Linked DNA regions of Coturnix japonica. The protein of the gene in region 1 purifies or fractionates together with the protein of each later gene. This does not show direct contact. Links are inferred from orthologs where the notes say so. Each region holds a gene or a part of one and is shown on either strand. Other genes may lie near its edges.

Region 1 (7,477 bases):
TAAGGGTTCTCTTAGTTGCCTCAGTCTACCCTTATCTTATTCTTAGGAATGGGAAACTGCAATACTGGAGTATATAAAAGTTTCATGAAGGTTTGCTTTCCTAGCACTTACCTATCTTTATTGCTAATTAGGTTTCCCCAACCCTTCAGAGCAGGCATTCTCACTGGTTGAGCTTCCATGTATTAACAAATATTCTATGTCCCAACTTTCCAAGTCTAAAGCAACAGGCAATGAATAAACAGACAAATATTTAACTTCAGCAGCACTTACACTTCTCCCATGGGAGCGTATGTCGAACCAGTTACAGTAAATTCATTCAGAGAACAGCTATCTCCTTCTACTCTGTCCAGGATGAACATCTGAAATTAGAGTTAGAAGCATTACTGCCTTTGAATAGTCATTAATACACAAGATTTAAAAAGGCCTGAAGCAAAAAGGTACAAGAAACAAGTCCGTGTTCAATATGCAAACTAAACAAAACTAGATCTTGATCCTGTATGTATGTGAACAGCTCCCTGATCCGTTAATGCACAGAAATCAGCACATCTGCCTAACAGATCGCATTTGAGAAGTGAACGGAGGCACAAGGAGACAACAAGTTGAAAACAGATACTGTGTACTCAGTATCAACTGATATTAAGATCATTATCCTGACCATGCCTCCTAGGCTTTAAACTTGTGAATTAATTCTTGTTTATGTTTTAAAGAGTTCCAATCAAAAGAAGCACAGGACAGCTTGGGAAGGGACAATTCTTGCCAAAGCAAAAATACAAAGCATCTGCAAATAGCAGAAGCTTTCAGAAGTAGAATTCAAGTGCTGAAATACATTGAGCTTCCCTTAATACCACTGAAGGCATTTTGCATCCTGGCTCTTGCTAAGTCCTTTAATGCCCAGTGCACTGGTAGATGAGAAACGTTCAGACAGCTCGAGTGCCCAGGCAGCACAGGATGGAGTTATTTTCAAATGCATACACTGATTTAAAGGATGCATTTGTGCTCTTGAGCTGCAGGAAGACTCAAATCTGGGAAAGCATAGATAAGAGCATGCTCGTACTCAACCAGAACTAAACGGAGTGGTAGCAAAGGAAAAAGTGCACTGCTCACAAAGTGCACCTTGACACAGTTTCTTACTGGTTTTCTGGTATGAGCCATTTTGCCAAACCACACTTCAGCAGCATCCTGCTTGCATTGCCTCGTGTTTTAGGGAAGCACTTTTGCAAAACACAACATTCAGCTGATGCACACGTGGTCTTCATCAGTGTCTGGAGTCCCCACACTCTTTTAAAGTCATTTTAAAAACCAAAAAGCTCAACAAGCCAATGATTTAAGAGACCACAAGGCAGAATAACTGCATTCCTGCCTGACAGGACAGGTCGGGACATGAAAACAAGGCCTCAAAGCTTCTCCTTTCCCTCCTGACTGAACTGTTTAGGATATTATTTAACACCATGAAAAACAAAACTGTGAAGTGAGTTGCTACTGTAAAAACTCTTCACAACACAGCTTAACTCTTCACAGCCACCTGCTTCAAGAGAAACCATGAATGCATGCACTGGCTACAGGTTATTAGGATTTGGCCATGTTTTTACCAGACTTTGAAATTAAGGTCAACTTGAGACAGCTACAGAATAATGAGGACCCAGTAAGAAGCAAAGCACAAGACCTGGAGTACTCAGCCCTCTGAATGTAAGGAGCGGTGCCTTTGGAGCTCCTAAATAAACACATCTGAAGGTTCGTAACTGATGAGTTTACCATGAAGCCTTCTGCTTTTGGCATCTTTGTTTTTGGCAGCATTCATTTGGTGATAAAAAAAACCTCCGCAAAGACTAGGGCAGTTATGCAACTCTACTGCAAGTAACCTCCTCTGGAATACTGATGAGCAGCTGCTTTGTGTTTCCTAGGTATAAATACTACAATACTTAAGCAAGTAGAACAAGTCAACTGCCAGTTAAAGAAGCCGCCAACAATCACATGAGAATAAATTAAGACTTGCCAAAGATACCAGTCTGTAATGCTCAATGTTTATGTATTTGAAATTCTAACCCCATGTAATAACTGACCAAACATGTGATATCAGTGCTAAGCTGCTGAACATCCACAATTATTAAAAGAACAGAGTGCTTTCTCCATAAAATTCCTACAAAGACTTATTCAAGTATATGGGATGCACAGAAAATGGGCAACACAACATGCAAATATGACCATGGCAATGCCGATGATGGTGTCACCTGCACTGCCAAGTTGCCGGATTAGTCAGACACCATTGCATGTTGATGATGCTGCAGCAAAGTACATCTGAGCAACAGTGGATAGTGAAGATAACCAAAGGAAGGTGGGAACATTCAGTGGTGAAAATACCTCAGACTATCCAAGTTACTGCCAGCAAAGCCTTTAGATTTTCTCATTGCTAAGCTTCTCCCACCTCTGTCATCTTCATACACAGATGAACATTATTATGCTTGTAACATACCCACCCCATCCTTCTGAAACAGGACAGATCAGAGGAAATCATCAACAGGAAATTGAATTGCTTACAGACAGCCAATGGAAAGCTGCTTGCAAACCACTGTCCCTTACACCAAGAGGGGGGCGCAGCTATCTTTGTCCATGACCAAGTAAGGGAAGAGATATAAGACTTCAACACTCTACAATGGAAAACTGACCTCAACACAGCTTATCTTGGGAAAATAAAGGCAGATTTTGATGATTTGAGAACCAAAACCTCATGGTCAAAAGAACTCAAGAAACACTGACTATTCAGAATTGCTGAGGAAAAAAACAAAATGAGGTATTTCAACATACCCTGCAGACTGACATCTGATTGGTGGTCAAAGTACCAGTCTTGTCAGAACAAATAACTGAGGTGCAACCCAAGGTTTCCACGGAGGGAAGACTTCTAACAATTGCATTCTTCTTGGCCATTCTACGGGTTCCAAGAGCCAAGCAGGTGGTAATAACAGCAGGCAGGCCCTCAGGAATAGCAGCAACAGCAAGAGCAACAGCAATCTTAAAGTAATAGATAGCACCTCGAATCCAGGAGCCACCATGAACCGGATCATTGAAGTGACCGATGTTTATTATCCAAACCGCGATGCAGATAAGTGAGATGACTTTAGACAGCTGCTCTCCAAACTCGTCCAGCTTTTGTTGGAGTGGGGTTCTCTCTTGTTCAGTAGCCACCATCTCATCACGAATTTTGCCAATTTCGGTGTTGACTCCTGTTGCGATGACCACTCCCATAGCTTTACCAGCAGCAATATTAGTACCCTGATGTAAAGACAGACAGCTGTGTTTAAAAGGGCAGACTACAGAAGCAGTGTTTCAGCTCAATTGTGCAAGAGGTGGAACAGGAAGAATGTCATTCTCCCAGTACACACAAAAGAATACTCTAGTGTAGGATTTCTACTTAAAAAATTAGGGTGAATATGAACAAACACTGATCTATTGTAAGTAGTGTAAACAAATCCATCTGCTGCTAAGTACTGGCACCTTAAGAGCTTTTGTTTGTTTTAATCTGGCAAAACACAACCATAATAATGTTATTTACTGTAATACATGTGTTCTGTGGGACTCTGTGTGAATGTTTAAGATGAGTAACAACAGTTAGGCTTTCTGCAAGGAGTCCACCAACAATAAGAATTGTTATTTCAATATCTGAAAGGCATTCAACCACTTCCTTGAAACAAATTTCAATCAACAGTTTCTTTCCCTAATAACAAGCTGGTTCTCAACTTCAGCTACACATAAGTCACTTTATAAAAGGAGTTTAAGAGTTCCTTAAAGTGTATGTCCTTCAATATTCTTTCTAATGAAGGACAAAAATTAGTTTCCTCATATAAACTGGCCTCAACAAGCACCCTCACTAAGGATGGCTTTAATTAGAAGCCACTTCTAGCCTTTAATTCATTCAGTTTGATGCACATGGAGACATGCATACAGACGTGCACAGAGAACAGAGCAAGAAGTTCCACAGCCTTTACATGCACACCTTGAGTTCTCTTTGTTTTTGTTCATCAGCTTCTGTATTACTTTTTATGTTTTAAACTTTCAAGGAAAACTTACAGAGAAAAGCATGTTCTTCTTGTCTTGGTTTACAGCACGAGGATCGGGTACAGGATCAGTGTGCTTAATTACAGACACAGATTCACCTAAAATGAAGGCAACAGTCTTAAAAGATCTTTTTCTTATAAGAAAAATGTAGGCACTCCATACTTATGCTAAATATAAATAAGTTCCCTCATTCTTATGCTATTCAAGATTTGTAGTAAGAAAATGTGCAGCCTGTTTCAAGACAGATAATATTTTTTTGATGAACGATTTAATGCTTTAAAATTCACGGCTAGTTGACATTTACTATTTATGTTACCAAAACTGGCAGACAGATCTTCATGTTCCAGCTGAGAGAAAGCCACACTAGCATGCCTGGCTGATTCCTAGCTTCTTTCCTATATTCAGTAGTACTGTTACTTTGTTTTTGTTTTCAGCTAATCTGAAAAGTCCTCTAAATATAGCTCCTGCATTTCAGCCTGCATCACAAAACACACCAACGTGTGGACAGAATTTCATCAAATAAGGCTTTAGGAGCAGTAGTTTAAAAACTGCCTGTACTTTAAACGTTACACTCTCTTGTGCAACAAAATAGGTGTTACAGAAGCCACTTAGTAAGTTCGACAAGGCATTCAATGTAGAATAGAAATTATTCCCCATCCCCCCAAGTTTCTATTGTCTCTTAACTAAAAGCAATGACTAAAGAAAGCACTACAAGTCTCAGGAAGAATATTCATCTCAGTAAGGTGAACACAAATGACAAAGCCAACATATTCACCCACTAAGATTTAACTAACTACATAGGAAATGTGCTGCACTTAAACACAGTGCTGGTATAGCTAGAGACTTGTCTGTAATGTATTCTAAAACAATTAAAAGGCACTTCCAATGTATGCAGAATAGTCCCGAAGTCACGACTTGTACCTGTGAGAATGGACTGGTCTACTCTTAGAGTTGTAGACTTGATAGAAGTGATTCTTATATCAGCAGGAACCTTGTCTCCAACTGCAAAGAAATGAGTAAACTGAATTGAGTTTTGTCTATTTGAGAGATTTCTAACCTAATGTATATTAGCTCTATCAGCCACAAAAGCGATTTTCCAGTATCTACTCCAATGATTACGATTGCTACCAGCTGCTTATTGCTTCTGTGGTTTGCAATACTCTACTTTTAGGAGTTTCCAATATGCTTTGGCAAATTAAATTTGGTTTCAAAATCTGTACCTCTACTTAATCTCCACAAAACATTCCATAAATCACCACTGGTTCGCCCATCATGTGACCGTAACATGACAGCAAGGGGAGAACATTCTTGGAAGATATCAATTTCAGAATACATTTCAATAACCAGAATTAATAGCTCAGGTAAGAATCAAGTCCCCTCTTCAGAAAGGCTGTCCTAGCAAGCTGCTTTCTTTACACTAAATCAGTTTTCTGTTCCCCACAGATCAGAACACGACCCATGTTCGTTTATTTGGAAATTGCTTCTGCAGATCAGATCTGCTTTTTCTGTGTTATACACTTCTAATAATGCCAAATACGTTTGAGTTAGAAGCTAAATTCAGATCACACACCAACTTTAAGTAGTACAACTGTATTAAACACACCCCAGCTCAAACCCCTGCAAAATTTGGTAGATTACGTTGCGTTTATCTCAGTATACATTTCTATTTTGTAGAGCACAACAGCCTGCAATTAATAAAAGGGCACAAAAAACCTCCTGCAGCACGTGTTTGAGATGCCAAGGCAGCACGTGGTGCAGGAGGTAACAGCACACTCCTGTAGAGGCAGAGTTCTGCTCCCACATCTTCAGCATCCCAGAACTAATCCTTCCACCTTTCCACCTTCTCTCATCTTGTTCTCCCTGGTTTTTAAGAGAAGCTGAAGAACTAAAGCTGCACTATTTTCTTCTAATGGACACACACAGTGAAACTTACCCCTAACATAATTTACCAGTGCAATTATTCAGGTGTTAAAGTCTTTTTTTTAATTATTATTAAAAAACAATGCACAATGACAGGGGAGAACACTTCAATAACTAGCTAATAAGAGACCATTTTCTCAGTAAATAGACTCTGTGTCCCTGCAGTGAAATTAAACCAAGCTGCAATTCCTGCAGGAACTGCTTATGCAACTGACAGCAATAATGCACATTAACAAATAACACCCTGAGAAGGCAGCAGCAGTGTTACAGCCTTACAGCATACACACACACACAGACAGGAAAGCTAAGGAGCAAAATGCTGAAGAGGATTAAGTACAGCTTTGAACATTAAACTTGCACCATGTGACTTTTCCTATGGTCAAAAAAGCCCCCAAATCAGTAAAAGCAGCAAAGATGGAATAGCTTTGCTTGAGGAATAAGATGTGTCCTTGTGTAAGCATGTGTGCATGAAGGGATCCCATAAATAGACACAAATTGCCTTTTTGTATCATTATAGCATGTGAAAACTAATTTAAGCCACCATGCCCTTGAGCAGCAAGAGAAAATAGCATTAGACAAACAGTGACCTCGGCCAAAAATGGCCAAAGCATTCAATAGACTCTCCTGATGTCATGAGGAGGTTTATATGCAGACATGTAATGGCAGCTGCCTTTCAGCCATCACTGAACAACAGGCTAAGACCTCAGTGCAATGGGATGCAATGCCCATCAGCCCGGCTACACATCTTTGCACTTCTACCAATACTGAAACATTGTAATTTCAGTGCACGCTATTCCCAAGCATCATCAGCTGCCTCAACCATCCGCACTGTTTGAGAGAACACATTGTATTCACCACCACCACCCCTACTTAGAAGGCGGTAGTAAAACATCTGAGGTATTTCCAATAGGTAGGAAAGCTCACATCAGGATCAATGATGGAACTACTTTGAGAAGCTCTCTGCAAAACACTACCTACAACACTGAGCCATGTATCATCCTGGACATTCTTTTATGAGCATAAAAGAAGCTATAGACAGAAAATCACCCTGCAGTAGATAGGAACCCACAGGGAATTTTTGGTGAGCAGTCTGGTGCAGATTGCATCTACAAGGAGGCGGCTGATTTCCACATGCTTTAACACAGAGATCCATCTCCTGTTGTTTTCACGCTGTTTATTTTGTTGCTCAGCTTTATTTTAAAGCACAGAATCAGTAGAATTATAACCCAAGGCTGTGACTTGAAAAGACAACGAGAAATTGGAAAAATCTATTTGTGGTGTTTAATGAAGAGCTACCGCAGCCTGAATATAACATAACTACCATCTCACAGCATCGAGTCTAAAAGCTCCAGCCAGTCACAGAAGGATTTTCATCAACTGTTTAAAAAATGAATCCAAAACAGTCCCTTGACTTCTACCAGCAGCTCCAGAGAATCAAGCAAGCTGCTTCCAAAATCATCCGGATGCGTATTGTTGAAGCATGGTTAAGCCAAATACTTAGCAACTG
Region 2 (7,477 bases), on another chromosome or scaffold:
CAGTCATATGTCAGTGAAGGGGGAGGCAGTAATTGTAACTGGTGACTCACACAAAGGCCCCAGGTGTAGGGGATACCCCACACAGCAACATGGGGTTAACCATGTCATGTCTTTCTGCATAGCTGTCCTGGGCATGAGACAGATCCTTCACATCCATTAGCAGCCCTGCATTAAAGACAACTGTGCACCAACACAACCAACAGCTTCCCCTCTGGGCTCATTACACCCAAAGACAATGCAGTTTGGCTTCAAAGCCAAGTAAATATCACTATTTGCTACACTTTCAAGATGTGGTTTTGTGCATGCATAATACTTCTTCATATTGACCTAAAGCACGGACAGTGGGCAAACAACAAAGAAAACTAATATCTGTGCAGTGATTGCCTTCATTTTAGACTAATTGTCAGGCTGCCCTTTTTGACCTTGTTGGCTACTCAGCTGCAGCTGTATTACCAACTCTGTTTCTCTTTATGCAGACTTCAGGTGGTGACAGCATCATGGAGGACTAACAAGTAAGGTATGTGCTTATTGCTTCAAACTATGCACTTGTAAAGAAAAACTTGATTATACAGAATATGTTCCCTTTGCTTACCTCTCCCACAGGCAGGCTAAGTAAGAATAGCAACATGCAGGTGTTTCAAAAATTTCCAAACCCCAAACAATCTGTTACTGTAATCTGACCTCTCTTCATCCCTTTTCTATGTATTTTTCTAGCAATAATTGGTATATACTCTAATATACTCTACTATTTTCTTCTTTAAATCCTTTTGTGTCACTACTCTGGCACAGTGACTGCTGTGTGCTGATGTCCTCCCTGAGACTCTCTGCTTCCCTGAACTGGTGATGTTTTCCTCACCTGTGATGTCCAGCCCATCTTTTAGAGCAGTACTTTAATGTCTTCAGTCACTGCCCCTGGAAATGTATTCAGCATCATGATATACAGGTGCCTGCAAGCATACAGGATATCTAAGATAGCCCACAGAAATGGGTTCAGTGTGTATAGGAGCAGGTAAAACAATCCCATTCCTCTGCAAATTCTTCTGAGTGCCCCCAAGAAATGGAATAGCTAGGGTGAAGCTCGCTGTCAGCAGGCTGCACACAGAGGCCACAGGCTGCACACCCCATAAGTTAAAAAAAAAATAAAAATGACAGTGACTTGGGGTGAAGCCATCCTCAGGAAACTCTAATCTCTGTACAGTGTCCATCACACAAGCTAGCTCCATAAACCTAGCTGTACTTGCTTATGTCCATCAGTGGTTCACCTCCTATGTCTTGTGCAGAAGACAAACAGCTTGGCCCACAGCAGCCCACTCAAGGCTGGAAATGCCAACCCACCAATTCAGGGAATCCTTGCCCTGGGAACAGGCAGAAGCCAGCAAGGAGCACAGCACACTGTGCCTGCTGAGCACCTTCACTGCTTACATAGATGAGAACAGGTACAGAGTTATGTCAAACAAAGCTGAAAAACAGTCAGTGCTAGGAAACTAAGACCTCAGTGTGCACTTTGTTTGCAGTGAAGCTAAGACCAACGACAGCTCAAGTCACTGTAAGAAAAATCTGAAGTTCAAATTTTGGAGATACCATCACATGGAATCACCTAAAAGTAGATTTAAAAAATCCCATGTATAATGTGCTTCCTTTCAAAAATCTTTTTTTTTTTTTTTTTTTTTTAAAATCAGTGTTTTCATCTATACTGAAAATACATGTTTTCTGCCATCTAACCTTAGAGAACCACATGGAGGGTTCAAAAAGAGCCTGAAAAATGCTTTTGTTTCATTTTAAGGTTCTGTTTTAGACACACCTGAAGACAGGCTCACGGGTGATAAAACATCGCTGGGTCAGTCAGAATGTCCTATAAACCATGCAGCAGATACCTAACCAACTGTTGGCCTTTACCTGGCATATAAGAAAGAGAGGAAGGCAGGTATCTGTATAATTCACCAGAGATTAAAAAAAAAAAAAAAAAAAAACACAACAAAACACACCAAACAAGATAAGGAGAAGCCTTGTGTCAAAGATGCTATTACAGTATATACTCACAAACCACCAGGGGGCAAGTTCAGCTTTCAGAGCAACATTTGAGAGATGTATACAGTATCACCATGTTAAGAACTAATTTTTCCTCATTGCTATAGCACCTACCCTTTGCCATGAGCTAAGCAAGCACACAGCCTCTCAACACAGAAGATTTGCACAGTAGGGCTTTTATAACCCACTGGGACTTCTAAGAGAACCAACACCCTGTGCTTCCATCGGCCATCAAAAGGGAGAAGATGCAAGAGTGCATGTTTTATTTCAAGCAGGAGACAAAGTAATATACATGCTTTATCTTGCTCCCATAGCAGCCGGTGTACTTGAACCTTTTAGTCTTTATCCTGTCTAATGAAAAATATACTACTAAAATTCCTTGAATCAGTCATGTTTAGCTTTTAATTTCACACCATATGAAGTATTTTTACTTGGAATGGCAGCGCATAAAGATTAATTCTCCTCCCTTCCAAAACAAGTCTGATCATCTATACAGCCAGGCATCCTGGCCTCCAGCCCTAACACAAAGCTTCAGGTGTGCTTAAACTAGCAGTAATGGGGGGAGAAGGGTGGAAAGCAACCTCAGTCTCAGGCCACAAAGGATGGAAAGATAAGGATATAAAAAGGCAGGACCTGGTAAGTCCCACATTTCCACAATTTCCATTTTACAGTCTCCAACCCCTGTTGAAAAGCAGGTGATGGGAGGAGAAATATAATGCAGCACAAACCTGAACTTGGAAAACAACATTTTAAAAAACATCATTTTAAACTAAAAGCCCTTGTGAAAACAATGTGTTTACTTCAAGCTGCTTAGAACCTTAAAACAATCTCCATCTGCACCTATCGAAGCACTTTACTTCTGCATTTCTAACTCTTCACTTTCCTGCTTTCCCAGCTCCACAAAGGCTGTCTAAACAAAAAAGAGAAGATAACAAGCACTTTACACTGTTCCTGACAACTCCTCTCCTTTCCTGCACTTCTAAAACCTCTGATCTGTGCCCTCTGCTTTCTTGCTGCCATGGAGAAGGTCCAATACATAACCCGCTCTGCTCTGAGGAGAGCCTCAACTATTGAGGTCAACCCACAAGCACGCCAAAGGCTCCAGGAGCTCTTTGTGAATTTCTGCCTGATCTTAATCTGCCTCTTGCTGATCTGCATCATTGTGATGCTCCTCTGAAGTTCCAGCACTTCTCTGCACTGTTCTCTAGGAAAGCCACCCAAAGGGAAGAGCGACCTCCACTTCCAACCCCAATGCAAGGATCCCCTTGGGAGAGAGGCTAGCACTTGGACTAAGGCTGTGCTGTGTGCCAGCCATCGCGCTGCTCTTACTGCCTGCCACATGTATTAAAAACACACTTCTGTGCTGAACAGTGTCTAAAGCCTGTTGTTACACAGCTGTGCATGACCTAATTTATCTGTTCAGTCAAGAGATGGCTGTTCTGACTGGTGCAGGGAACTGCCTCTCCAGAGGGCTGGTAAGTCTCCCCATGTTTTAGCCAGTTCTCCAGGGGTTAGCCCCTATAGACAAACAACAAGTGCACCTTTTCACGATCTTCGAGTTTCTCTAGAAGTCCATAAACCACTGGGCATGTTCCAAATTCAGACTAAAGAAGAGCTGCTGGCACACATACCACATACTGCAGAGTAGGAAAACATCTATTCAGAGTCCTAAAACATGTTCCATCTTTGTGCTATCAACTGAAGGTATTCACCTTGTTCTAGCATTTATGAGAACAAAAGTAAAACAAAAAGTATCTTCTGAAGGTTGTTTTTTTTTTTTAATTTTCAAATGCTCTTCTTCAAAGTTAAAGGATCTTACATATGTAACCATATTTATTTATATAAAGTATACATATATATTATACATACACATTATATATATATAAAATGTGTGCATATATATAATGTATATGTGTATTTCTATATGCACACACCTTGGGTAAAAAAACAAAAAGGCAACTTTTTTTTTTTTTTCTCCACTGGCATTTGTCACTGTTCCATTTTCACTTGATATAACTATACAGAATTAAATGACAACCAGAAAGATCTTTTGGTACATTTTTGCAGACAAACGCATACTACCTTACTGGCAAAGATTTCATTTTCTGTAAGTAGCATAAACAAATGGCTCACGTAAAAAACACAACAAAATCATAAATACCCCCAAGTTCTTAAATGTTTGGTTTCAGCCAACTTGAGTATTGCCTGCTCATATAACAAGTGCCCAAGTTTAAAACTACAGATAGTTTTATATCTGCCACTGCTGTTCTACGTGACTTACATTTGATGCGGTAAAGAAAATGGTTTAGGTCATTTTTACTACTGCAAATGGGGCATACCATAGAAACACAAGCAACACCATCATCCTCAACTATAAATGACTGTTAGAGAACAAGCAAGTATTTTCCTAAGATAAATGATACGTATCATTATTTACAGGAGGAAGAACACTGCAGAAAAACTTATTTAGCACATAAAACACAGTCTATACAAATACAAGGTGAAGCTTCTTCTCCAGCAGATATCAGTAACAGGCCTGAGCAGACTTCCAGCCCTCTCACACGTTGCTGGTGTTAGGTTAAATTCCTAGAAACATTACAGCTCTCAAACTTCAAAAGAAAGCTCAACAATCAATATACATAGATCAGATGTTTTAAACCAGCTTCTTTCTACACCACCCTTGGCAAACAATACTATTACATAAGCAGAGGTTGACAATGAACAACTGAGCAGAAAGGGAAGAAATATTCAAGGGAAAAAAACTCATATTGAATGTAATGCAAGCTCATTGGTGACACACTTCCCAACTAGCAAATAGGTACACTGAGAGCAGATCTCTGAGGTAATGTTAGTCACTAGAAGTCATTAGTTACTGCATGAGGATTAAGGCAAACACTGATGTAAACACACATCCTACTTCAAGCCATAATGAATAGAACTGTCAATATAAACCTCAATTCCTGTTTCATGCATTCTGACCATCTTCACAAATGCATGATTTTCCATACATGCACTTTTCCTATCACTACTACTACTTAAAAGGAAGAAAAGCCACAGTGTACCACTTCTGTGAGGAAAAGACAAATAATGAAAAGATTACTTCTATTTTTTAAATCTATATTATGTGATGAGAGGGTTTCCATACTTGCTTTTCTCATACAGACATTTTAGATTACACTGAACTTACTGAAGTAAACTTCTACTGGAAATAGCTGACAGTTTTATTGTACTAAAAAAGCTTTCTGAAGAGAAAAGGGTGCAAAAAGTAGCAGTACCCATTCTGAGATCATTTTGGAATTATAAGATCTACAAGCCTGTAGTCAAAGCAGAACATTGCTAAATAAAGAAAAAACAGCCTCCCTATAAATACAATACCTGCTTTCCTCTTACGTATCTCAAAAGCCATTAATCAATTAAAAACAAAAAGCAAGAATAAACCACGGTATAAATAAGCTGGAAGCTATACTGTTATTTTACATCAACACAGATAAATTTCAAGTACTATATGGTTCATCTGCACTTCAGGGTTCTGTTGATATGAAAAACTACTCCCATGCTCCACTTTACATTGTCAACTGAACCCAGAGTATTTTTCTTTGTATACTTCTAAGAGCTTCCAAACTAGCATCAGGTGTATTTTTATTTATTAAAATGACTGTTTGAAAATATATTACTGAATAAAAGAAGATATTCAAATGCAATTGTTTAAAAGAAGCATCCATCCCATTATCAACTTGGGAAAAAATAATAAAGTTATGTGAATGAGAGGTAGCCATTGTCAAGTCTGGCACTCAGTCCAGCACCTGTGTAAGGCAGCCTTTAATAAAGCTTCTCACAAAATGCAAAGCGTTTGGCCTCCAAGCACAAAGAACTTCCACAGAAATTTTTAAAGAATACCTGGAAAACAATAATCAGATACACACTCACACCTTATTTTAAGCCTGCTGTGCCTAAATTTGAACACAGAGCAATGAACACGTTCATTCAGAGAGTACCCTTGATCCTATCTGGAAGCAGACTGATGCATGACAGATTATGGCCAGATACCAGCTTTATATGGCTACTGACTGTCATAAAAATATTCGTGAGGTCCTACAGGATCCAGGGCTATCATATTTTACACTGAATGTGATCCTTTAGCTTTGACTAGATGTTAAATACTGAAGGACGTCTGTGTTTTGCTTACGGAAAGAGATGAGAGAACACCTCTTACTCACTGCAAGGCTTAGAGACCGGACACATTTCTAAGAATTCCTTTAAAAACGGATGGTTCTCCACAAGAACTCAGATCATTTAAGTCATTTTTAAATGGGCTCTGTATTTGCTGCAGTATCTGACAACCAGTTCAGTCAAGATGACTGCTTTCTAAGATTCTTTTTGTTGCTTTTACTTTTCGGTTTTTTTGCTCTTAAAAATAAAAATCACAGAAGTACCATCTCATATAGTATACAGAACTATAGAACAGTGCCCTCTTCTGATCTTAGCTTGAACTTAGCTGGTTATTAAAAAGGTCCGGCAACTCTTCAGTGTCAGGGATAACTAGTCATACTCATTTCCTTTCTTTTCTACATACTCATATCTGCATTTAAAACAATCAGTAAGATATTATCTTACAAAAGGCTATGGCATATGTGATATTAGTAGCACTACAGACGCCTCCTCTACCAGTGCAATCTGGTCTCCTCTTGTGGAATTCAGGTTGTGAAGATGCAATGAATCCTATGCAGCATACTGTTGGCAAAACACTACCTATATCATGGTACACAACACCAGTACCTAGAAAGATAGGAAAAGCTCTAATTAACAGAGATGCATTTTGCCCAGAATATGTTGTGTTTTTCACCTACAGAGATCCTTTAGAAAAACAATGTTTCCAACAATCTACTACTGGAAGTAAACCCTGAGAATAGTGCCGTGTCAGACTTCACAGGATCCTGCAGAGTTCTGTGCATGCAGAAGAAGTAAATAAAGAGCCAATTTGTGCAAAATTGAAGTCTTCCATTAACTTTTTTCTTTTTAAAAGGAATTTGGAAAAACAAGGAGGCTTGTAGGAACACTCAGTTTTTTGTTTTTGGTTTTGTTTTGTTTTTTTGAAAGAAAAAAGTATCTTCTATTAATAATTTTTTTCATAATTGGCAGAAACTAAGAACAGGTGAACAGCTGAGGACGATGAAATTTGTGTGACTCTGCGCTGCTTACCATCGAGCATACAGTCCAGAGGGCTGCTGTGAGCACAAGAGGGCAGACCAGCGCACATTATGGATCTTGCTACCAACAGAGGTCTCAACCTGCTGCTCAATTTCCTGCTCATAGTCTTGGTTTTAGTGCTCGCATTCATCCTTGTGAAGCTGATGTGAATCCCTGGGAGGTTCCAGTTCCTTTTCAAATATTGTTCAGAGGGTTTGGGGTTCTTTTGCAATGATAACGTAAGGAGGTCAAACAATCTGTC

What was found. Proteins that work in one complex are often made in the same cells at the same time.
Region 2: the proteins of ATP2A2 (region 1) and PLN purify together in Homo sapiens (affinity purification with western blotting; 4 studies listed by BioGRID). This does not show direct contact. The link is inferred for Coturnix japonica from reciprocal best matches to the Homo sapiens genes ATP2A2 and PLN.

The regions. Positions count from the first base shown.
Region 1 is NC_029530.1:4,546,978-4,554,454, forward strand, and holds part of ATP2A2 (sarcoplasmic/endoplasmic reticulum calcium ATPase 2), read right to left. Parts: intron 5,053-7,477; coding exon 4,972-5,052; intron 4,149-4,971; coding exon 4,063-4,148; intron 3,268-4,062; coding exon 2,803-3,267; intron 360-2,802; coding exon 271-359; intron 1-270.
Region 2 is NC_029518.1:57,225,922-57,233,398, reverse strand, and holds the end of PLN (cardiac phospholamban), read left to right. Parts: intron 1-476; 5' UTR 477-517; intron 518-2,923; 5' UTR 2,924-3,046; coding exon 3,047-3,205; 3' UTR 3,206-5,729; downstream 5,730-7,477. UniProt on the Homo sapiens protein: Reversibly inhibits the activity of ATP2A2/SERCA2 in cardiac sarcoplasmic reticulum by decreasing the apparent affinity of the ATPase for Ca(2+).